Callithrix jacchus: one gene and its partner. The protein of the gene in region 1 purifies or fractionates together with the protein of each later gene. This does not show direct contact. Links are inferred from orthologs where the notes say so. Each region holds a gene or a part of one and is shown on either strand. Other genes may lie near its edges.

What was found. The genes of interacting proteins can lie anywhere in the genome.
Region 2: the proteins of WDTC1 (region 1) and CUL4A purify together in Homo sapiens (affinity purification with mass spectrometry; 10 studies listed by BioGRID and IntAct, counting the BioPlex papers as one, with this or other methods). This does not show direct contact. The link is inferred for Callithrix jacchus from reciprocal best matches to the Homo sapiens genes WDTC1 and CUL4A.

Annotation. Positions count from the first base shown.
Region 1 is NC_133508.1:63,901,370-63,909,816, reverse strand, and holds the start of WDTC1 (WD and tetratricopeptide repeats protein 1), read right to left. Parts: upstream 5,008-8,447; 5' UTR 4,976-5,007; exon of another isoform or gene 4,813-4,975; intron 4,803-4,812; exon of another isoform or gene 4,482-4,802; intron 3,891-4,481; exon of another isoform or gene 3,694-3,890; intron 1-3,693. UniProt on the Homo sapiens protein: May function as a substrate receptor for CUL4-DDB1 E3 ubiquitin-protein ligase complex.
Region 2 is NC_133502.1:28,717,619-28,724,574, reverse strand, and holds part of CUL4A (cullin-4A), read right to left. Parts: intron 3,890-6,956; coding exon 3,737-3,889; intron 1,524-3,736; coding exon 1,428-1,523; 3' UTR 1-1,427. UniProt on the Homo sapiens protein: Core component of multiple cullin-RING-based E3 ubiquitin-protein ligase complexes which mediate the ubiquitination of target proteins. As a scaffold protein may contribute to catalysis through positioning of the substrate and the ubiquitin-conjugating enzyme.

The DNA of each region.
Region 1 (8,447 bases):
TTGCACTTAGGCCTGAGTTTACCCAGAAGAAGCCAACTAAGTGGTACCCCTTTACACCCAAGTCCTGGCTCTTGAGGGCAATCAATGAGGTCTAGTAAAAAGGATGTATTTCATTATTTAGTTCTCATGAACCCACTGTAACATAGGTGAAACTATAGCTTTGAGAGGATAAATGATTTACCCTAGGTCACAGAGCTAAGAAGGAGCAGGCATGGGTTCAAATATCAGCCCTATCACTACTAGTTGTGTAACCTCCAGCTTATTCCTTAACTTTCTAGAGTCTCAGTTTCTCATTTGTAGAGTAGAGCCACCGTGCCCAGCCATGTCAGTTTTTACAGATCAGACAGACAGGGAGGCTGGACATGGTGGCTCACACCTGTAATCTCAGAACTTTGGGAGGCCAAGGTGGGCAGATTGCTTGATCCCAGGAGTTTGAGAGCAGCCTGAGCAACACAGTGAAACCCCGTCTCTACAAAAAAATTTAAAAATTAGTGGCCGGGTGCAGTGGCTCACGCCTGTAATCCAAGCACTTTGGAGGCCAAGGCGGGTAGATCACCTGAAGTCGGGAGTTCAAGACCAGCCTGACCAACATGGTGAAACCCTGTCTTTAAATAAAAAAAAAATAGCAAGGTGTGATGGCATGCACCTGTATTCCCATCTACTCGGGACATTGAGGCAGGAGGGTCACTTGAGCCCAGGAGGCAGTGGTTGCAGTGAGTCAGGACTGCACTACTGAACTCCAGCCTGGCCAACAGAGTGAGACCCTGTCTCAAAAAAAAAAAAAAAAAAAAAAAAGCCGGGAGTAGTGGCTCATACCTATAATCCTAGTACTTTGGGAGGATAAGGCAGGTGGACCTCAGGAGTTCCAGACCAGCCTGGGAAATATGGCAAAACACTGTCTCTACTAAAAACACAAAAAATTAGCCAGGGCTGGGCTCAGTGATTCACATCTATAATCTCAGCACTCTGGGAGGTGGAGGCAGGTGGATTATCTGAGGTTAGGAGTTCAAGACCAGTCTGGCCAAGATGGTGAAACCTTGTCTCTACAAAACTACAAAAATTAGCTAGGCGTGGTGGTACATGCCTGTAATTCCAGCTACTCAGGAGGCTGAAGCATGAGAATCATTTGAACCCAAGAGGCAGAGATTGCAGTGAGCTGAGATCAGGCCACTGTACCACAGCCTGGGTGACGAAGTGAAACTCTGTCTCAAAAAAAAAAAAAAAAGGGTGGGTGTGGTGGCTCATGCCTGTAATCCCAGTACTTTGGGAGACCAAGGCAGGCAGATCATGAGGTCAAGAGTTTGAGACCAGCCTGGCCAATATGGTGAAACCACATCTCTACTAAATATACAAAAATTAGCCAGGCATGGTAGCGCATGCCTGTAGTCCCAGTTACTCAGGAGGCTGAGGCAGAAGAATTGCTTGAACCCAGGAGGCAGAGGTTGCAGTGAGCCGAGATCACGCCACTGCACTTCAGCCTGGGCAATAGAGTGAGACTCTGTCTCAATAAAATAAAAATTTTAAAAAATGTTTTAAAAGATGTGGCAAGCCCTCTGCTTGAATATCTGCAACAATGGGTAACTGACTCCCTCACAAGGCAGCCAATTTTCTTTTTAGAAAGCTACATTTTTTCCTATCAAACCAAAGTCTACTGTTTTGGAATTTATGCCATTTAATCCTGTGACTCCTTCTAGAATCACAGAGAACATCCAGTTTCCTTTCCCCGTGACAATTCTTCAAGTATTTGAATGAGGTATCATTTTCCCCCAGGCTCTTACCCTTGGTCCTTTCAGTTCTTCCTCAGTGTCACAGTCCCCAAGGCAATTCAGTATCATAGAGCAGATAGACTTGGGTTTGAATTCCAATCCTTCCTCTTACTAGCTGTGTGACCTTAGGCAAATTACTTAATCTCTCTGAATCTGTTTCTTCACAGGGAAAATGATTCTCACCTCACAGGACAGGCATGAAGTTTACCCTGGATAAAGTAAAAATACTAACTAGCACTGAGCCCAAGATACACCAGGCCCCGAATAAAATGTCAGTCACTTTTTAGGACATATCCCAACTGGCAAATAACTCTCAAATTAAACATAACACCAAGGAACTGGTTTCTGATGGCAACAGCCAGAACTTTGGCTTCTGAAGAGATGATAGCTAAGACAGCACAACCGAAGGGTTTTGTGGGTCCAGGAATCTGCAATGGCAGCCTAAAGATGCAGTGGAGCATCTGGAAAGGTGAGGAAGAAAGAAGAAAGGAAACAGGACAGACAATTAAACCAGTGACCCAAAGAAAAGACAAGTATCACCAGGTTACATGTTCTGTTTGACTTCCCCTCTAAGACTCAGAACTACACATGTGAGCCACATTCCTTAATTTAAAAGGAGAAATGAGAGCTAGTCATGGTGGCTGTGTCTGTAGTCCCACTACTAGGGAGGCAGAGACATGAGAATCCCTTGAGCTCAGGAGTTCAAGACCAGCCTGGGCAACAGAGTGAGACACCATCTCAAAAAATAAAAGGAGAGAAAAGAAAATAATTAAAGAATGAGTTATAGTCGAGATCTTCCTTAGCAATTGGCCCCTCAAGATCCACAAATGTCTGGCAGTGAACTTCAAGATTTTCAGTTGTGTTTCCAGATCCTAAAGTCCAGGTGTGCAAAAAATACCCTACATAAGATGCCCAATGAGTCAATACTGAACTCCTCCCAGCTAGAAAAACTGCCAATTGTATGAAACTGGTAAATAGCCATTAACATAATAATAATAATCATCATCATCATACTCTTTACATGTGTTCTCCCTTTCCCTCGTGCCAGGCAGGGAAGGTGTCCCGGGCAGAAATATGGACTGCTGCTCAATTATTCTGCAGAGTTGATCTAAAAGCACTGTTTCGTCAAATCAAGGTAAGACTTAAACATAAGTGCTCTTACATAGGTCAAAAAAGGAAAGGAGAGCAGGACTCCAGACTTAAAGCAGCAGGATCACAAACTGTGACAGAAAAGGTCGTTTCTTACCTGCCAATGAAATACAACAACCTGCAATGAAGAAATCTCAGTAAGTCTCAGACTTGGCCCAAAGGAGCCCCAATAGTCACTCCCTGGTCTGTTACGGTTGTTACACTCAACAGCAAAAATTCAATTCAATCCCGCTAAAGATATAAGAATCACATGGAAGAATAAGCCAGAACTCAAGACAGAAATAGCATTAAGTAGTTCCTTCAGTACAGTGAGCAGAGGCTGGCCACTCACCGACTCTAAAAGACACAAAAAAGCTTAGTACAGACCACTGGGCATACCAGTGTACTAGGTGGAGATTTCATATTCTTTGAGTCAGAAGCTGCCCTCAAAATAGTTTTCTTCTCAAAACGGTCAGGCTTTGTTAAAAAGAGAAGATTTCACTGCCACTTTACCTAGATCATTACCCCATCCTTGGAAAGAATGAAGAAGCATCAACCACCCTACCAGGCTCCTAAAGTCACCAACTTGAGAGAAAAACTATAATGCTGTTCTACCACTACTTCAGGAGGTTAAAGTCACAGAAGAAAAGAACTTTGGGGGAAACAGTCAAATTCGGCTGTTAGATATTAGTCATAGGCCCCTGTACTCTTCTCTAGAAACCATGGGAGTACACACGCAGAGGAGAGAGAGCACAAGGCACCAAGTAAAGTCAACCAGGCTGGCAAGGGGGTGTCTCACTGCGGCTTTCAGTCCAAGAATTGGATCCTGCTGGTTCGCAGTCTCTTGTATCTCCTCACTTCCTATTTACCCTTTGAAGTGGGTACTGAATAGCCCATTCCCAAGCAGAGGCCCTTTGTATACGGAGTGCTACAATCGCCTTGTGGAAACACCTTGGCAGAGTTCAGTTTGATGCCAGGATGGGCCACTGAAGGCATCTGCGGTGGACACACACACACACACACACAGAGAGGGAGAGGGGGGCAGAGAGAGAGAGAGAGAGAGAGAGAGAGAGAGAGAGAGAGAGAGGAGAGAGGGAGGGACGGAGGGAGGGAGGGAGGGAGAGAGAGAGAGAAAGAGAAGAGAAGAGAAGAGAGGGAGGGAGGGAGAGAGAGAGAGAGAAACTAAGAGAGCAGGTCGGCCGGCGCTGCCCTCCCGGCACTTACACCTGCCCCTTCTTCCTGACTCCGGCGCCAGATCAGATGTCAAACAAAAACTCCGCAAAAAAGTCCCATGATGGAACGACTTCCACCTCTCCCTCGCCAGAGAACTCCCACAGTCTCCACCTGCGTCCCGACCAGCCCTCCGCCCCCACCCCGCCCCTGGCCCACTCTGCCCTCCGCCCCGGCGAGGCCTGGTCCCTCTCGGGATACCCGGGGCCCCAAGGCGGGCAGGCGCAGGCCCCCAGGCCGGTAGGGCTGGAGCCGGCCCAGAGAGAGCGGCCAGTGCGCCGGGGCTGCGGGAGCCGGTCCCCGCCTCGGCGCCAGCGGAGAGCAGGGGGCGGCGGCGGCGGCGGTGGCGACCCGTACCTGTCAGGTCTCTTCCCCCGACCAGCGGCGGCGCAACTTCAGGAGCCCATGTCCGTCCGGGGGGCGGCCCCTCTCCCGGGAGGGGGGACGCGGATCCCGGGGAGGGGGCTGGAGGGCCCGAGCAGCTCTAGCCCCTTCCCATGCTCCCCGCCCGGCGCCTGGCCGGGGCCAGACAGCGCCTCCGCCCGCCCCTGCGCACCGCCTCACACCCGCGCTCACACGCACTCACACTCCCTCGCGCGCTCTCACACACGCACTCCCCTCCCTCCTCCTCCTCCTCTGTTTATCTCCTCCAGCTGTCTGGGGACCCAGGAGAAGCCCAGCAACGCGCCTGCGCCACGCAGTCTCCGCCTCCGCCCCGCGCCTCACAGCCGGCGGCTACGCTACGGAGACGGCGCCCGGCAGCTTCCAGAATGGCTAGCCTGGCCCCCCCACTAACCCGGCCCCCCCGACCCGCACCCGGTCAACGTCTGCTGCCGGCGGCGCCCACTAACCTGCTAGCGGGGAGCCCCTCACCGCCGTGGCCAATGGGCTTCGCGGCTCGCGGGACCGACAGCCAGTGGGCGGGCGGGAAAGCTGGGCTAAGCCCCGGGGCACCCTGGGAATCGTAGTTTTTCGCCGTCGAGGAGTTCCTGCTGAGCGGGCTCATCCTACCCGGTTGCCATTAGTTACCCGGACGCACCTCCCACCCCACAACCGGGTGAAACACTCCTCACACCGCTTCTGGGACACCCACTCACATGCTCGCCCACTGGTCCCCAGGCCCCCGCACAGCCCCTTAAGAGCTCCTTAAGACTTCCTCTGAGCCCCCGAATCGTGGGACCTCTCAGGCTAGGGCCCCGGGGTTCTCCAGAATCGAGCCTCAGCCCACTGCTTCCTGCTCTGGGGGCGCTGCTGAAGTCGCAGAGTCCTCACTCGCGTCTCCTGGGCCTTAAGAAAGAGGATGAAAGAGAATCGGTCCTACGCTGAATAGCCTGGCAGCCACACACTCTCTGGGTGCCCCCGGGGTGGAGGGAAAGACTAGGTCCATCTGACGCTGTCGGAGACACTGCTGCTCCCACCTCTGAGGAAGAAACGCAGTTCCAGCTTTGTGGAGTCCTAGGTATGATAGAGGAGACACCCTCCTCTTTATTAAGGAAGTACCCAAGGTGACCAGGGTAGCACTAAGCCTATCTTCTTAAGGCAGAGACCAGGCCCCACCCATGAAACCTCAAGTCAGAAAGGGAAGACACGTGTCATCACCTTCTGACAAGGGAAGCTTGTCACTCACTCACAGGGTGCCATTTGTCAGATAATAACAACAATTCACTTTTATTCTCGCTGGATTGGGCACAGTCCTCTAGTTAGGTACTATTGCTGTCTGTGTTTTGCGGAAAAGGAAAGAAGCTAAAACAGAAAGCTTAAAAGCAACTTGCCTCCGGGGTCCTGATAAGGAGACAAATTGGGAATCAGACCCAGATCTGCCTGACTTCAGAGTCTGAGCCTTTGAACACTGCCTGTCTTTCCTGTGAAAACCAGACAGCACCTGCTCTCAGTAAGGACTGAATATATGTATTTGGCATTTATAGTGTTTATTACTCCATGTGTTTCTTGTTTTTTTCCAATTCTGCTCATATCATGAGTATGAATTTGTCTGTGAATACCTGAATACTCCCAGAAACCAAGGTAGTATTCTAGTTGCTGGTGATTTCTCCCTAAGGGAGATTTCTCCCCATTTAGAGGAGTAAATCTAAACTGTGATTTATCTCTCATTTAGAGGAGTAAGAACTGAAAAAAAAGTAAAAAGAAAAAAATAAGAAAAAAAAGTAAGAAGAAGAACCTACCCTTGTGAAATCAGCTCACAAAAAGCTTTTATGCCTTTCTCCTAAAAATGTTGTGGGCCATTCCTCCTAACCTCTCCCCCACAGCTGTTCCACTGAATATAAAAAAATCATAGACCTTGGGACTAGAAAAAAGCTTTTAGATCATCTATCTGTAGCTCTCTGGGTTCAGGCTGCAACCTTGGTTAGGGTCATTGGGTTAATTAAATAATAGCTAATGTTTATTGAATACTTACCATGAGAGATAAATACTTACTAGTGGATTTAGAAACACTCCCAGCCATGCATGGTGGCTCACACCTGTAATCCCAGCACTTTGGGAGGCCAAGGTGGGCAGATCACGAGGTCAGGAGTTCAAGAGCAGCCTGACCAACATGGTGAAACCCCATCTCCACTAAAAACACAAAAAGTAGCCGGGTGTGGTGGTGTATGTCTATAATCCCAGCTACTCAGGAGGCTGAGGCAGGAGAATCGCTTGAACCCAGGAGGCAGAGGCTGTAGTGAGCCTGAGATTTCGCCACTGCACTCCAGCCTGGGCAACAGAATGAGACTCTGTCTCAAAAAAAAAAAAAAAAAAAAATGAAGGAAGGAAGGAAGGAAGAAGGAAAGGGAAAGGAGGGGAAGGAAGACTCCCACAATCACAAAGCAAGGAAGTGGTACAGTTGGGATTAAAGCCTAGACTATTCAAATCCAGAACCCCCATTTCAAAATTATTTTAGCATCCTGTTTTAGTTGTGGCAGAGAAACCCCATTTTAGACCCTTGTTTAATGCTAATAAGGTCACAGATGATCTTAGATATACCGACAGAGAAGAGTGGGTGATGTTTCTGTGACTCCTAGCACAGTCTATGGCACATAGCAGAAACTCAGTAAATAATTGTTGTTAGAATGAACTTTTGTTGGTAGAGAGTGATGACAGGAAGAAGACTTTTTTTTGAGACGGAGTCTCACTCTGTTGCCCAGGCTGGAGTACAGTGGCGTGATCTCGCCTCACTGAAACCTCTGCCTGCTGGGTTCAAGTGATTCTCCTGCCTCAGCCTCCCAAGTAGCTGGTACTACAGGCACAGGCCACGACACCCACCTAATTTTTGTATTTTTAGTAAAGATGGGGTTTCGCCATATTGGGGTCAGGCTGGTCTTGAACTCCTGACCTCAGGTGATCTACTTGCCTCGGCCTCCCAAAGTGCTGGGATTACAGGCATGAGCCACCTCGCTCGTAAGGAAGAAGACTATTAACAACTGCAGCTACTGTTTATTATTTTCTACTAGGTACTCACTTGTACTCTTACACTTGCTTGAGTTTCTCTCCTCTCTTCCTCCCTCTCCGTATAAGCAGAGACTTATACATAAATCTATACATACATTTGTGTACACATACACATATACACTCACACACACTAACTCATTTGATTCTCCCAACCACATTATGAGTTAGGTATGATTCTTACTCCCATTTTACATAAAAGAAACAAAGATTTGGCCAGGCATGGTGGCTCACACCTGTAATCCTAACATTTTGGTTCCAAACCAGCCTGGGCAATATGGCAAAACCCTGTCTCTACAAAAAATACAAAAATTGGCCAGGCACAGTGGCTTACACCTGTAATCCCAGCACTTTGGGAGGCCAAGGCGGGTGGATCACAAGGTCAGGAGTTTGAGGCCAGCTTAGCCAACAGAGAAAACCCCATCTCTACTAAAAATACAAAAATTAGCCAGGCGTGGTGGTACATGCCTGTAGCCCCAGGTACTTGGGAAGCTGAGGCAGAAGAATTGCTTAAACCCGGGAGGTGGAGGTTGTGGTAAGCCAAGATTGCACCACTGTACTCCAGCCTGGGCAACAGAGCAAGACTCCGTCTCAAAAAAAAAAAAAATTAGGGCAGACATGGTAGCTGGGCTGGGTGTGCCTCATGCCTGTAATCCTATCACTTTGGGAGGCCAAGGTGGCAGGATTACTTAAGGTCAGGAGTTTCAGACCAGCCTGGCCAACATGGCCAAATCCTGTCTCTACTAAAAATAAAAAAATTAAAAAATTAGCTGGGTGCGGTGGTGGGTGCCTGTAGTCCTAGCTGCTTGAGAAACTGAGCCAGGAGGATCACTTAAGCCTGGGAGGCAGACGTTGCAGTGAGCCAAGATGGCACCATTGCAC
Region 2 (6,956 bases), on another chromosome or scaffold:
AGAGTAAGTCTACATTAAATTACAATATTAATCACTAGGCACAATGAACTTATATAAGAAATAAAAATAGAAATCTGGTCTTTCTCAGACCACATATCATAGAATAAATGAAAATCCTCAAAGATAGAAATGACAATTAAAGAGTGAGGATTTTAATACAGAAATGCACAAGGTGTCATATTTCAAACCCGCATGTTTCAAAAAGGGAATCTTTTAATAATTTAGCACAAAATCAAATTATATAAACTTGGTATATTCCAGAAAATATTGCTTTAAACATTTATGCCATGGTCAAAATTCCTTTGGTAGCTTTTAATCAAAATGAAACATGCTATTATGTAAAATATAAAGTACTTTTAAATGTTATCTCAAAAGCATCTGTCACAGTTACCATTCTACCATCACTACTGAACTTCCATTTCACTGTTCAACCTCATGTACATACACAACACAAAACCAGGTACCCACAAAAGCCCTTTAATCTTCTGACAAAATACCCTCTGTTTCACAACATCAAGGCTAAGTCTCCATAAACTTTTACAGTTTACAGCAGAGAACAAGGATCGTCCCTGCACATGACTGTGAAACCAAACCAAACTTTTAATGATTGCAATCATACAAATACTGAAATTTAAAAAAAATCAAAGAGCAGTTACCCCAATGCAAAAAAACAAAAACAAAACAGGGACCGCCAGACTCAATCTTGGCGTGGAAACAAACACACGAGCCCCAAACCCTTAAACAGAGATCCACAAGCAACTCAGCTGAAACGAAAAGATGCAGCAGGGTGGACACCACGGCCTTGGCACCTCAGGGAGCTCACTTAGAAACCGGACTTGCAAAAAACCAGCCATCGAAGTTTAAAACTTTTAGAAATACATGACACAGAGGGGCCAGTGGCTAGGATGCACCATCCATCTTGCCAGCTTCGAACCCTCGCCCTTCCTAATGTTCACCCACAAAGGGTCCTTGTTTTCACTCTAAACGCCGATCATCTGAGCGAGCTTATCTTCAGGGGTACCTAGGGAATCTTTAGAGCTAAAAAATGCAGCATCTAGGGTCTTCTTCATTGTGCATTCATGATCACACAAGAACAAACTTTCAGCTTTTTGACACAAGAACAAGACCTTTTAAAGGAACTTCTTTTTAGCAGTATCTTCTTGTCCAATCTCAAAGTTGTTTTGCAGAGTAACAGAAACAATTTAAATGCCTAAAAGAACTAGAGGAAAAACCAGAGGAAAAAAAGACACATCTGCCAGTTGAAGTCTTGAGCCTTGTGAAGGATGACCCAGGAGGAGTCACTTTCCTTCTTTCTTTCAATGTCCACAGCGGGATCAATTACAGAGTCCTGGAAATGGCACAGGTGTGCTTCCCTGCTCTGAGGGTACATTCTAGTGTTTCATGAACGGGAACTGTCTGCAGATGCATCAGGCCACGTAGTGGTACTGATTCGGATTGTCTCTGTCTCTCTCCATATAGTCTCTGTCTATCAGAGATTCAATTCTCTTTTTCAAATCTCCAGGCTAAAAAAGAAAAATAAAACAATCTCCCTAATTATAGTGGCAATAAATTTACAAACATAGGGGTATATGCAGGAAGTATATAATTGTAATTACTAAAATATATATACAAATAGACATTTATATATAAATCATTTATAATTATGCACATTTATAAAAGTAATACAATTGTCTATTTCAAAGTTAAGGTTACCTCTAGATGAAAAATGTGTCCATGTGAGTTTATGGTCAGAGTGTGCCTTCCTGAGGGAAATGTGAAACTTGTGAAATATACATATATCATCTACCATCATAAACAGGACATAAGCAAGGTAGAGCCCATCACATGACACGTTTTTGTTTGTTTGAAAGGAAAAATCTCATCATGTTTTATTGGGGCATTTTTTTTTTTTTGAGACAGAGTCTGGTTCTGTCACCCAGGCTAGCGTGCAGTGGCACGATCATGGCTCACTGCAACCTCCACCTCTGAGTTCAAGTGATTCTCCTGCCTCAGCCTCCCAAGTAGGTGGGATTACAGGAGCCTGCCACCATGCCCACCTATTTTTTGTATATTTAGTAGAGATGGGGTTTCACTGTGTTGGCCAGGCTGGTCTTGAACTCCTGACCTTGTGATCTACCTGCATCGGCCTCCCAAAGTGCTGGGATTAAGCATGAGCCGCCTGGCCTTATTGGGGCATTTTTATCCTTTGTCAGGATGCTTCTGCCTAAGTACCCTATTTTATTAATGTATTTATTTATTTTGAGATAGAGTCTCATTTTGTTGCCCAGGCTGGAGTGCAGTGGTGCCATCTCAGCTGACTGCAGCCTCAACCTCCTGGACTCAAGCAATCCTCCATTTCAGCCTCCCCAGTAGCTGGGGCCACGGGTGCACACCACCATGCCTGGCTAATTTTATTTTTTGTAGTGAAGGGGGTCTCACTATGTTGCCCAGGCTGGGCTCAAGCAAGCTGCCTGCCTCAACCTCACTGGTGTGAGCCAGCGCACCCAGCTGTATTTCTATTATGTATTTCTATAGTTATTACACGCTATGTCTACATACGTGAAACTACAACCCCAGGTGCTCCTGTGCTAAAAGCAGGTAACTGACTAGACAAATCCACAGCCATGCTTGTCTCTGCCCAGGAGGGCGCCCACTCCAGCTTTGCTGTATGAGGAAGCACATCTGTGTGAGCACTTATGTGCAAGGTTCTCCTATACAAGGGAGACCCACTATTTTCCAAACAAACATAACCTTCTATTCAGTGATAAGCCACATATTTTACAAGATGTGGCTGAAAACCTAACTATCTGTGAGAGCACAGCAGGCGCCCTGGTTGGCCACATTCTGCCCTCGCCTGCCTTCTGCTTCATGCTGGGCCTGGCTGTTCAGAGTGGGAACAGGAGATGTGCTCCAGCTGGTGGGAGGAAGGGGCAGCATCCCTGACGGTGCTTCCGAAGCTGCGCAGAACCCTGAGGATGCCTCACCCCTGCAGGGAAGGAGGCAAGCGCAGGCTGATGGACAGTGGCACTTCCATCACTCTTACGTGTCTGACTATTTAGTGTATCCAGACTTTATTCTGCTGGGGGCGTCAAACTGCACAACGTGGCATCTGGGGACTTTCCCTCCAAAGCACGTGTGGCTGATCCAGTCCCTGAGGGGGTAGGTGTCATCAGAGTTTGGGATTTTCTAGGTTGATAAATACAGGTAAAAACATTTTGTAGTACTTTTCTGGCTTATCCTGCATCCCACATGTGGCAGGAGAGTAAATCTCTGTTCTAAATACACAGTGCAGATTGACAGGTCTGGGCCATTTTCGTAAGCAACAGCGACAGTGGACTGTTACCGTGGTAGAAAATGCTGGGCAACCTGTACTCGCTGAATAAATTAGTTATTGTCACCATTTCCTTACAATCTTGTGATGTAACCTTGACTGCTGCTACTATAAGAAAAGTGTTGAGCTTTCCATGTTTTATCTTCCTGTCCCCTTCTTGAGAATATGAACAAGCGCACTATCCCTGGGAAGGAGAGTTTTAGGACACTATTATTTCCACAGTGGCAACGAACGACATCTGGAGTAAGGGTATTCACATTCACCAGTCTTTCTACATTCAGTGTACACACAAATGATCACAAATAATGCAGGTCAAATCATATGACTGAACAGTGAGAATTAAACGCGCTTTGTCAATTACCTAGCATAATACTACAAATTTAATTATGCTAATGCTACATTTACCTTGACTGGAAATTTCAGCTGATTATATAATTCAGAAACTAGAAGATTATGACCAAGGGTCTTTCTCATCTTCATTATTCTGACGATAGCAGCATCAATCTGATATTGTCTATCCTGAAACACTCTCTCAGTGGTGCTAACTTGTTCCTCAACCTGTAAAAAAAAAAGAAAAAAAAAGTTAAGTGCAAAGCTATATTTTCTTTCTTTTTTTTTTTTGAGATGGAGTCTTGCTCCGTCGCCCAGACTGGAGTGAAATGGTGCAACCTCTGCCTCCCGGGATCAAGCAATTCTCCTGCCTCAGCCTCCTGAGTAGCTAGGACTACAGGCACCCACCATCATGCCTGCCCACTTTTTGTATTTTTGTAGAGACGGAGTTTCACCATGCTGCCCAGGCTGGTCATGAACTTCTGACCTCAGGTGATCTGCCCTCCTCGGCCTCCCAAAGTGCTGGGATTACAGATGTGAGCCACTGTACCCAACCTATATTTTCAAAATTAATGATTTATGTTACCAAATATGATGAGAAATGCTCTTCTGATGCAAAGAAAGGTCAGATATTGGATGAATTCTACTTTATTATGCAGGTTTATTTGTTCTAGTAAAATGTACCTTCCCAGAATAGCAAAACTCCCAAACCGAAGCTTAGAAAATATTTTTAAAAGTTATATTTTCCTTGAAAGAAGCTGTAACAACTCTTATATGATGTAGATTAAAACTAGCAGCACAGTAAACAAAACAAAGCATAAGACCATCAGGATATATTCCAGAAATGTAAGCGCTGATCAACATTAGGAAATCTGAGAATATAAGTGAGGGCACTGTCACAGTTGAAAGGTTAGATTATATGACCATCTTGATAGATGCTGGAAAAGGCATGAGCAAATTGAAAACTGACTTTTGATTTAAAATAAACATTAGCCTACAAGGATGAATAAAAAAGGACAGAATCTGAACGTGAAGTGTGGTTATCAGAAACAAACAGCAACTACTAGAGGCAACTTAACCTCAGTCAAATAGGAACCTGACGGGCTGTGGTCTGCAGCTGAAATCAGGGTTGGCGGAAGGTCTATGCATACATGTGAGGCAAGTATGCTTCAGCACAGGACGGGCTCCAAGCTTTCATCACATTTTCAACAGGATCCACGACCCCCAAAAGTTAATATTCTCTGAGCCAGAGATAAAATTAGGAAGCTTAGTTGCACTGCTAATCTTTAAAAACGTGACTTTAAAGGTTCTAACTACGCAATACGAGAACAGACTAAAGAGGTATATTGAAAAAGTGTAGAAAAAATGATCATTATTTACAGATGAGCTGGAAAATCCAAGAAAATCAACAGAAAAACTTTCAAAGCAAACGAGTTTTGTAAAGTGGCTGGAAATAAAATAAATAAATAAATAGCATTAATATATACATTCTGATAAAAACTGTCAGAAATATAAAGAAAAAAGACCCGCTTTATAAGAGATCAACATTTCATTCGCCTGTCTTGCTTAAAACTAATGGTTTTCCAAACGCTTCACAGGTCTGAGCCATCTCCAGAGGGTCCAGCTATGGCTGCCTAGTTAGACCTGTCTGACTCAGCTTCCGCTTCTGGCAATGCTGCTGCAGCCAGAGGCCTTTCAGTTCCTGAGCAAAACCAGTCATTTCTCAGGAAAGCCTTGGCTGACCCTAGTATTTGATTAGGCTCTGCTGCACCTCTCTGCCCTAACATTTTCCTCCACTCTTACAGGTTAGTCAATGTGTGTGATCCTCTGCAACCTCTCTGCCAGAAAAGACTCAACGCACCCAGAAACAAGGACTTATTCTTTATTGTTAATGAATGAACTCTCAGTGCTTCATAGAGGACCTGGCTCACCACAGATGCTCAGTATTTGTTGAACGAATTAAAATTTATAACTAGCAAGAAATATGCACGACTAAAACTAGAAAGCTCTGAGAAAGAGAAAAGGTTTGCATATACATTTTATACATACACATATGTACGAATCAGAACATGTAACATAAAGAAAAACTGCAAATTAATGCAGTAGGTATTTAAAATGTTAATGTTCTTATTTAGGGGAGCAAAGACATGATACAATTATTGTGAAGTTCATTGGGAGAATAAAGCTAAAAGAATAGCTACATTATTAAAAGAATCTGGTGCCAGGCATGGTGGCTCATGCCTGTAATCCCAGCACTTCCGCACTTCGGGGGGGGGGGTGGTCAACGTAGGAGGACTGCTTGAGCCTAGGAGTTCAAGACTAGCTAGGTAATATGGCAAGACCTCATCTCTACAAAAATACAAAAAATTAGCCAGGCTTGGTGCCACACGCCTGCGGTCCCAGCTACTTCAGAAGCTGAGGTGGGAGCATCTCTTGAGCCCACATGGTTGAGGCTGCAGTGAGCTATGATCATACCACTGCACTCCAACCAGAACGACACAGCCAGACCCTATCGCAAAAACAAAAAACCCAAAACCAAACACACACACACACACACACCCCAAAAACTTGGGGTGGGGAAAGGGATGGCTATGAAAGAGATACAGAACTTATGGAAGAGAATTGAGAAACTGACCTATAATATATGAATTTGATATATAATAAGGTGATCATTCAAATAACTTGTCCAAGGATAATATCTTAAGTTTGGTTTTAGAAAGGGTGAGTGGTTAGATTGGTTTCAGATAGTAAAATAACTTCTACGTCATGCAAAGAAACATTTAAATGTAAACTTCTAGAAAACAGCATAGAATGTTTTTTAAAAATCTGGTTAAGCGAACTTTTCTATTAGGTTTGTGACACAGTTTTGAATATGTGAACCCTCCAAATCTTAGGCTGAAATGTGGTCTCCAGTGTTGGAGGTGGGGCCTGGTGGGAGGTGACTGGGTCAGGGTGGTACGTCCCTCATGAATGGCTTGGGCCCCTCCGCTTGTGATGAGACAGGTGAGGCCCCTCCCTGCTCCTGCTCCTGCTTTTGCCATGTGAGCCGCCTGCTCCTCTTGCACCTTCCGCCATGACTGGAAACTTCCTGAGGCCCTGCCAGAAGCTGAGGTGACGCTGGTGCCATATTTCCGGTGCAGCCTGCAGAACTGGGAGCCCATCTCACTTCTCTTCTTTATAAATTACCCAGTCTTGGGTTCTTATAGAACACAAGAATAGCCTAATACAATATGACATGTTAGGTCACAGCCGTAAAAGAAAAGGAGAGTATATTTGAGGACTTAAAAACTGTTAT